Linked DNA regions of Stegostoma tigrinum. The protein of the gene in region 1 interacts with the protein of each later gene in a biochemical or structural test. Links are inferred from orthologs where the notes say so. Each region holds a gene or a part of one and is shown on either strand. Other genes may lie near its edges.

What was found.
Region 2: the proteins of upf2 (region 1) and upf3a form a complex in vitro, tested with the Homo sapiens proteins (2 studies listed by IntAct, with this or other methods). The link is inferred for Stegostoma tigrinum from reciprocal best matches to the Homo sapiens genes UPF2 and UPF3A.

What each region holds. Positions count from the first base shown.
Region 1 is NC_081378.1:5,629,517-5,633,433, forward strand, and holds the start of upf2 (regulator of nonsense transcripts 2), read left to right. Parts: upstream 1-1,095; 5' UTR 1,096-1,231; intron 1,232-1,287; exon of another isoform or gene 1,288-1,405; intron 1,406-2,974; 5' UTR 2,975-3,064; intron 3,065-3,897; 5' UTR 3,898-3,917. UniProt on the Homo sapiens protein: Involved in nonsense-mediated decay (NMD) of mRNAs containing premature stop codons by associating with the nuclear exon junction complex (EJC).
Region 2 is NC_081359.1:66,907,563-66,911,479, reverse strand, and holds the start of upf3a (regulator of nonsense transcripts 3A), read left to right. Parts: upstream 1-1,009; 5' UTR 1,010-1,131; coding exon 1,132-1,248; intron 1,249-1,385; exon of another isoform or gene 1,386-1,498; intron 1,499-3,917. UniProt on the Homo sapiens protein: Involved in nonsense-mediated decay (NMD) of mRNAs containing premature stop codons by associating with the nuclear exon junction complex (EJC) and serving as link between the EJC core and NMD machinery.

The DNA.
Region 1 (3,917 bases):
TTCACCTGCCCCTCCCCTATCCACCCATCTGCCCTGCATTGTCTTATCTTCCTCCCATACTCATCCTCCCCTCAGTCCACGCATTCCAACCCCTCCCTTCCATCCCCCACACCATCTCCATCCTCCCTTCCACCCCCTATCCTATCCTGTTCCCCCCACCCCCCTATCCTATTCCCACGCCCCCGTCCCTATCTCCCCCTATCCTATTCCCACCCCCCGGTCAATATACCCCTATTCTATTCCCACCATCCTATTCCCACCATCTTATTCCCTTCCTGGTTCCTATTCCCACCATTGAATTACCCCTGGTCCCTATTCCCCCTGTCCTATTGTTCCCCCTATCTTATTGCCCTGGTCCCTAATGCCCCCTATCTTATTGCCCTGGTCCCTATTGCCCCCCTGGTGTCTATTGCCCCCTGTCCCTAATGCCCCCTATCTTATTGCCCTGGTCCCTATTGCCCCCCTGGTGTCTATTGCCCCCTGTCCCTAATGCCCCCTATCTTATTGCCCTGGTCCCTATTGCCCCCCTGGTGTCTAATGCCCCCTGTCCCTAATGCCCCCTATCTTATTGCCCTGGTCCCTATTGCCCCCCTGGTGTCTAATGCCCCCTGTCCCTAATGCCCCCTATCTTATTGCCCTGGTCCCTATTGCCCCCCTGGTGTCTAATGCCCCCTGTCCCTAATGCCCCCTATCTTATTGCCCTGGTCCCAATTGCCCCCCCTATTTTATTACCCCCAGTCCCTATTGCCCCCCCATCCTATTGCCCTGGTCCCTATTGCCCCCAGTCCCTAATGCCCCCTATCTTATTGCCCTGGTCCCTATTGCCCCCCTGGTGTCTAATGCCCCCTGTCCCTAATGCCCCCTATCTTATTGCCCTGGTCCCAATTGCCCCCCTATTTTATTACCCCCAGTCCCTATTGCCCCCCCATCCTATTGCCCTGGTCCCTATTGCCCCCAGTCCCTATTGCCCCCCTGGTGTCTATTACCCCCGCTCCCTATTGCCCTCCTCTGCGCCCCCCCCGCGTCTGGCAGATGCTGGGGGGGGGGGGCGGAGTCAGGGGGCTTCCCTGACGCCTCTAGCCCTATTGAGCGCCTGTCTCTCGTGGAGAGAGATAGAGAGAGAAATCAAACGGCGGCGGCTGTCTATCGCCAGTGAGCCTGACATCCTGCTGCCGCCCCCCCTCGATGCGATACGAGCAGCAGCCTATGTTTTTGTCGTGACCGTGCGCAGGTGCTGGTCAGGCGGCTGTCGGGTCAGGCCGTGCAGGCGGGGTCCTGATACTGGGGCGGTGGGGGGAGGGGAGGCGGAGGTTGGTGTCAGTTCCGCCGCTGTCGGCTCTCCGTGTGCCCGCTTCGAACTGCAGCCTGGCCCGTTCCCTATCACCCGGGACACCTCCGGGAGCCGGTAACTGCGCCTTTCCGCAGCGGGACACCCGGCTCTGTGCGATCTCTCTCTGTCTCTCTCTCTGTGACTTTCCGCTGCCAGTGGCTGTGGCCCCCGGGGCCTGTGCCATCCGTCACCCGGAGCCAGGGCTCTCACCAAATCACCGTCTCTCCCCCCCCCCCCCAACAACCCACCACCCAGCTCCAGGTGTGCGTGGGGTTCCTCTCCCCTCTCCACTTTTCCTTGCCCTCTTTTCCCCCTTGCCCTCTTTTCCCCCTTGCCCTCTTTTCCCCCTTGCCCTCTTTTCCCCCTTGCCCTCTTTGCCCCCTTGCCCTCTTTGCCCCCTTGCCCCCTTGCCCTCTTTGCCCCCTTGCCCCCTTGCCCTCTTTGCCCCCTTGCCCTCTTTGCCCCCTTGCCCTCTTTGCCCCCTTGCCCTCTTTGCCCCCTTGCCCTCTTTGCCCCCTTGCCCTCTTTGCCCCCTTGCCCTCTTTTCCCCCTTGCCCTCTTTGCCCTCTTTGCCCTTTGCCCCCTTTGCCCCCTTTGCCCTCTTTTGCCCCCTTTACCCTTTCTCCTCTCCCCTCCCTCACTTCCCAATCTCTATCCACTGGATTTGGGAAGACCTGCCCTCAATTTCTAAGTTTCCCACTGCATCCCATCACACTCAACCTGAATAGTTATTTTGATATTGACTCCTTCCTCTTCATTCTAGATTTTTCCAGGGTAATACCATTGCCCTTTGCTCATCTACAGTGTGTTTAATCAATGCTGTGGTTAATGGACTTTCAAAAGTATGGGGAAATGTCGTATTTTCTGATCACAATATCTGACCCCCTCACCTTCATTTTTATATCACCCACAATTTGAATGGCCTTATTCTGCTCCAAAGCTTATGGTCTCTAAACAGAAACTGACCCATTTTGAAGCCATTGGTATTGGGTTTTGGGTCCAGTGCAACTTGTTTATGTTATAGTATTTTGCAGTAAATATTTAGGTAATAAACACATCCTGTGTTTCCTGTTTATTATAGAATGGAGAGGTGTCAAATGAAACCAACTATTGAGTGTTGTTCACTAAAATCACATACAGAACTGCTAATGCTGGAGATAAGGTTTGGGAGCATCTGTGAAAAGAAAACAAGGTTAATCTTTCAAGGGTCGCAAGACTCAAAAGTTAACCCTGTTTTTCTCTTTGCGATGCTGGACCTCCTGAGTTATTCCAGCGATTTGTTTTCTTTGCCTTTGTATTCTTCACCATCGTTTTAATGTAATGTTATGACTGGTATGGGATTTTGAAGTAAAAACATAAGGGATGTTTAAATGAGCTGATTTTAACTTTTAAATTCTAATATAATGGGAAATTTTATTGAAAATGTAATGTTGATAGATATATATGGTGAGCTATATACATTGTTCCTTAAGCAAATTAGTATTACTATTTATTTTAGTCTACTTATAATATTTTGTATTCAAAAGATACTTGTGTTGAGGAAACCATGCATTAATTTTTCTATTAAAGTAGGATAACAATTTGATTTTGGAGCATGAATTTCTTTGAATTAAACAAAAGTGACATAATGTCTTGTCCTTGCAGAATTGTGGTGAGCTACACTGAGGCAGCCATTTTACCTACTCAGTTCCTTCTGAGACTAATCTTATGACTTGACGGATACGCTGGTATAAGGTAGGATTTGATACCACAGTAGTTGAGAGAACAGAAGTTGTTTTCAACTGGAATTGACACCTGCGGTAGTTGTGACCTTGTATTTCCTTGCACAACATCACTGGCTTGATAGTTGGTTAAAAAATGTGAAGAATCCCATTTGTTTTTAGAGTCTCAGAATTTATAAAGCTGGGACGGCTAATCATCAAGTTGTGCTGACTGTAGGAGCTTGCCAACTGTTCAGTTTCTTTGCGTACTTTAAATGCTTTCCCCATCTCTTTCAAATGTCAGCATGGGTTCGGGTTCTGCACTGTTTCTGGTCAAACATTCTATTCCCTTATAATTCTCTGTCTAAAGTAGTCCTCCTGACCACCTTTGTTTTATTTGTGAAGATCTTGAAATTGATGCTTTTATGTTGAAACTCACCAACCAATGGAAATTATTCCCAGTCCTCCACTCAAGACCTTGTTGACTTCTGTGTGTCCTATTCTTGGTTAATATTCTCTAGTTTTTTTTGTGAGACTTTTTAAAACCACAGTATATTTAGGTGTTGTTATTATAGGATGAAAAAATCCAAGAACTGGAATGGTTTCAAAATTTGGTTCTTTGCATCATCATCACAATGAAACAATTTTACTAAATTATAGCAACCAGAATCAGCAGACCTTGCTGCCTTTGATCTGTTTGTTCAGAGGCCAATTTTAATATACCTAGAAATGATTTTTGTCAAAGCTTGTGCTCGAAAACATATTACTGATTTCATAATGTGCATAAATGTGATCTTGCCTGTTTCCATATATGGTGACAATGATATGACCTGTACATCGAAATTAAACTGCATTTTATAATTTTAGAGTGCACTGGACTCCCCTGG
Region 2 (3,917 bases), on another chromosome or scaffold:
TCAGGTTTTAAAGGGTTCTGAAGCATTGGGGACCTGACTAGGACCCATGGGCACAGCCTTAAAATTAGACGGGGTAAATTTAAAACTGAAATGAGACGACATTTCTTCAGCCAGAGAGTGGTGGCCTTGTGGAATTCATTGCCGCAGAGTGCAGTGGAGGCCAGGACGTTGGATGCCTTCAAGTCAGAGATCAACAAATTCTTGATCTCAAAAGGAATCAAGGCCTACAGGGAGAGTGCAGGGAAGTGGTGTTGAAATGCCCATCCGCCATGATTTAAATGGCGGAGTGGACTTGATGGGCCGAATGGCCTTACTTCCACTCCTATGTCTTATGGTCTTATGGAAATATTAACTCTGCTCTCTCCACAGATGCTGCCAGACCTGCTGAGTTTTTCTGTTTCTGTACAACTATTTCTAAAGCCCAGTCCGCATTCAGATTGTAGCAAGAAAGCTACTGTCTTAATTCAGCTTCATTTCCTAGTAACCCATCTTCACATCTAGGGTGGTGACATAAAATTGCCCTTTCACGTTGTTACAAAATTTCTTTAATGGTTTGCGTGGGGTAGTGAGAATTTATCAGATCTGTATTTAGATCCTTTGAGTCAAGGCATACTCTCTGTTTTTCAGATTATTTCATTGCCACCATCCTATTGTAGCTGTCACTGCCCTTTTCCAGATCTTCAACCTTTATCTATCAAGCCTGGAGGCAGCCAGGACTTTCCTCAATACATACTGAACTGGTTTTACAACGTCATCAATTTAATACGATATTATTCAGGAATTTATCCTATACTACTTAAGGATCGGTTCCATAGTCAATAGATAAATGTATTATCTCTGTGATCATCTTTAAACGTAGAGACTTTGAAGACAAAGTATCGCTCCAATATTGCAAGCCCTTAGATACACCAGCGAAATCCACGCAGATGCCGTCAAAAACAGTAACAAGTCACCTCAACACGCACCCCGCTGGGCGGTTGGAGAGGGCGGAGTCAGCCCATCCGGGAGCATCACGTGGGAGGAGGCCTGTGAGCGTGCGCGTCATCGCGAGATGTGTCAACACGAGTGCGAGCACAGCAAGAGGTTGACAGAGTGTGCGAGCGATAGGCGGTGGAGTGAAGAGTGTGCGGAATGAAAGAAGAGAAAGAGAACAAGGGGCGCGAGCGGCGCGTGGAGATCCAGTTCAGAGACAGAGAGGAAGGGGAGAAACGCAAAGAGAAAGATGAAAAAAAGGAGGTGCTCACTAAGGTGTGGGCTGCGCTGCTCGCTTTCTTCCTTCCCTCAAGCACGAAAGCCGTTTTCTTTTGGGGGGGGTGGGTGTGTGTTCTAGAGCGTTGCGGGGTCTCCATGGTGACGTGGGAGTTAAAATGATGAGGCGGACGGTGATTGACAGATCGCGAGCTGGCCTCGAGTGCAAGGGTGGCTCACGCGGCTGCAATTATGCCTCCGTTGGATTGCTCGTTGATTACCGATTGATCTTCAGCATCATACTGCTGCGGTAATGCACATCCACGCGCTTAAGATCGATGAGGCTAAAATTTTCCAACGAATCAAACGGCCATTGTCCTGTCCTCTTTCATATGTTGTCATAGTCAGACTTCACAACCATCATCATGCTGGATAACGTAACGAGAATTCTCGTCCCAAATTTTTGTGATCCCCAATCGTGTGATATGAGACTGGTTCTGGATATTTTAAAAAGTAATTGCTTTGAAGTGGTGCAATTCCCGTTTTGGGTTAAAATGGAAGAATAGCATTTTGCGCAATCTGCGTACCTGTAGTCCCACACTTCACGTTGCCAGTTATTGTGATTTCGTTCAGGTCGTCGTTATAGAGGGAAGGGAATTTAATTTCTTTATTGAAAATATTCCCTCTTTACATCAATGCTTTAAAACTGACACCAACAATACAAGCCATACATATTAAAATGTTTCTAAAAGTGTTTTTTTTCGCTAAAGAGATCAGTATTTTGCACACAGCGATAACAGGAAATTTATAATTGAAAAGCTTTGATTATCGTTGCGTGATTTATTTGTAAATTTACTGATTGGCCGATTACACGTGGATGCTGTCGTCGCAGATGGACATGAGAGCATTAAGATGTTTATGATAAAGGCGGTGTATTCGTTGTAAGGGTCACCGGACCCGAAATATTAACTCTGGTTTTTCTTCACAGATGCTGCCAGACCTGCTGAGCTTTTCCAGCAATTTCCGGGTTATTGTTTTCTGATTTTCTACGCAGATTGGACCAATCAAATTAGCAAAGGTGAGGTTGAAGATCAGTTCTAGAATCATAGAGATATACAGTATGGCAAGAGACTCTTGGGTCCAACTCGTCCATGCTAACCAGATATCCTATATCTGGGGTGGCTCAGTGGTTAGCACTGCAGCCTCACAGCCCCAGGGACTCAGGTTCGATTCCAGCCTCTGTCTGTGCGGAGTTTGCACATTCTCCCTGTGTCTGCGTGGGTTTCCTCTGGGTGTTCCAGTTTCCTCCCACAGGCCAAAGATGTGCAGGCTAGGTGGATTGGCCTTGCTAAATTGCCTGTAGTGTTCAGGGGTGTGTGAGTTATAGGGGGATGGGTCTGGGTGAGATGCCTCAAGGGGCAGTGAGGACTTGTTGGGCCAAAGGGCCTATTTCCATACTCTAGGGAATCTAATCTAGTCCCCATTTGCCAGCATTTGGCCCATATCCCTCTAAACCCTTCCTATTAATATGTCCATCCAGATGCCTATTAAATGTAATCATACCAGCCTCCATAATTTCCTCTGGCAGCTCATTCCATATGTGCATCACACTCTTCATGAAAAAGTTGCCCTTTAGCTCCCTTTTATTATTCTTCCCCTCTCACCTTAAAACTATGCCCACTAGTTTTAGACACCACCCAGGGAAAATACCTTGCCTATTTACCCTATCCATACCCCTCATGATTTTATACATCTCTATAAGGTGTCAACCTCCAAAGCTCCAGGGAAAATAGTCCCAACCTGTTCATCCTGTCCCCACAGCTCAATCTCCAACCGTGCCAATGCCCTTGTAAATCTTTTCTGAACCCTCTCTAGCTTCACAACATCCTTCCTATAGCAGGAAGACTGGAATTGCATTCAGTACTCCAGAAGTGGCTGAACTAATGTCATATACAGCTGCAACATGACCTCCCAACCCCTGTACTCAATGCACTGACTGATTTCATGGAATTGCTTTTGCAAAATTGGAACCAATTAGGGGAAATGCATTTTTAGATTTGGCATTGCATAATGAACAGGGCTAGTTGTGTGGGAGCAGGCCATTTGGCCAGTTGAACCTCCTCAGAACTTCCTGCTCAGACCCACCCTGTACCTGTAACCTTGCAATTCCCATGGTCAGTCCACACATCCCTAGGCACTATGGGCCAATTCAGCATTGCTGATCCACATAACCTACCTGCACATCCTTGAACTTGGGAGGAAACCCATGCAGACACAAGGACAACGTGCAGACTTTAGGCACAGTCACCGAGGAATTGAACCCAGCTCCTGACTCTGAGGCAGCAGTGTTAACCACTGAGCCACCATACTGCACAATGTGATGCCAAACTCTTCTTTGATCATTGCCTTTGCCTCCTTGCCTACTTCGCTGGACAGGACCCCTCCTCTTTGTTCCATGGACCCTTTCACCGATCTTCAGTACCCAGCCTTCTGTCATCTTCTCTGCATTTCATCTCTTTATTGAGAACTGTCGACATGACATCAGCTGCCTTAATTTCTCTGCTCCCCTCACTGATGAGAACATATAACAGCAGAGCACAGGAACAGGTCCTTTGGACAACATATCTGCGCTGACCATGAGGCTATTATAAGTTAATCCCTTTGCCTGCATTTGGTCCGTATCCCTTTATTTCCTCTATGTTAATTTGTCTCTCTAAATGCCTCATAAA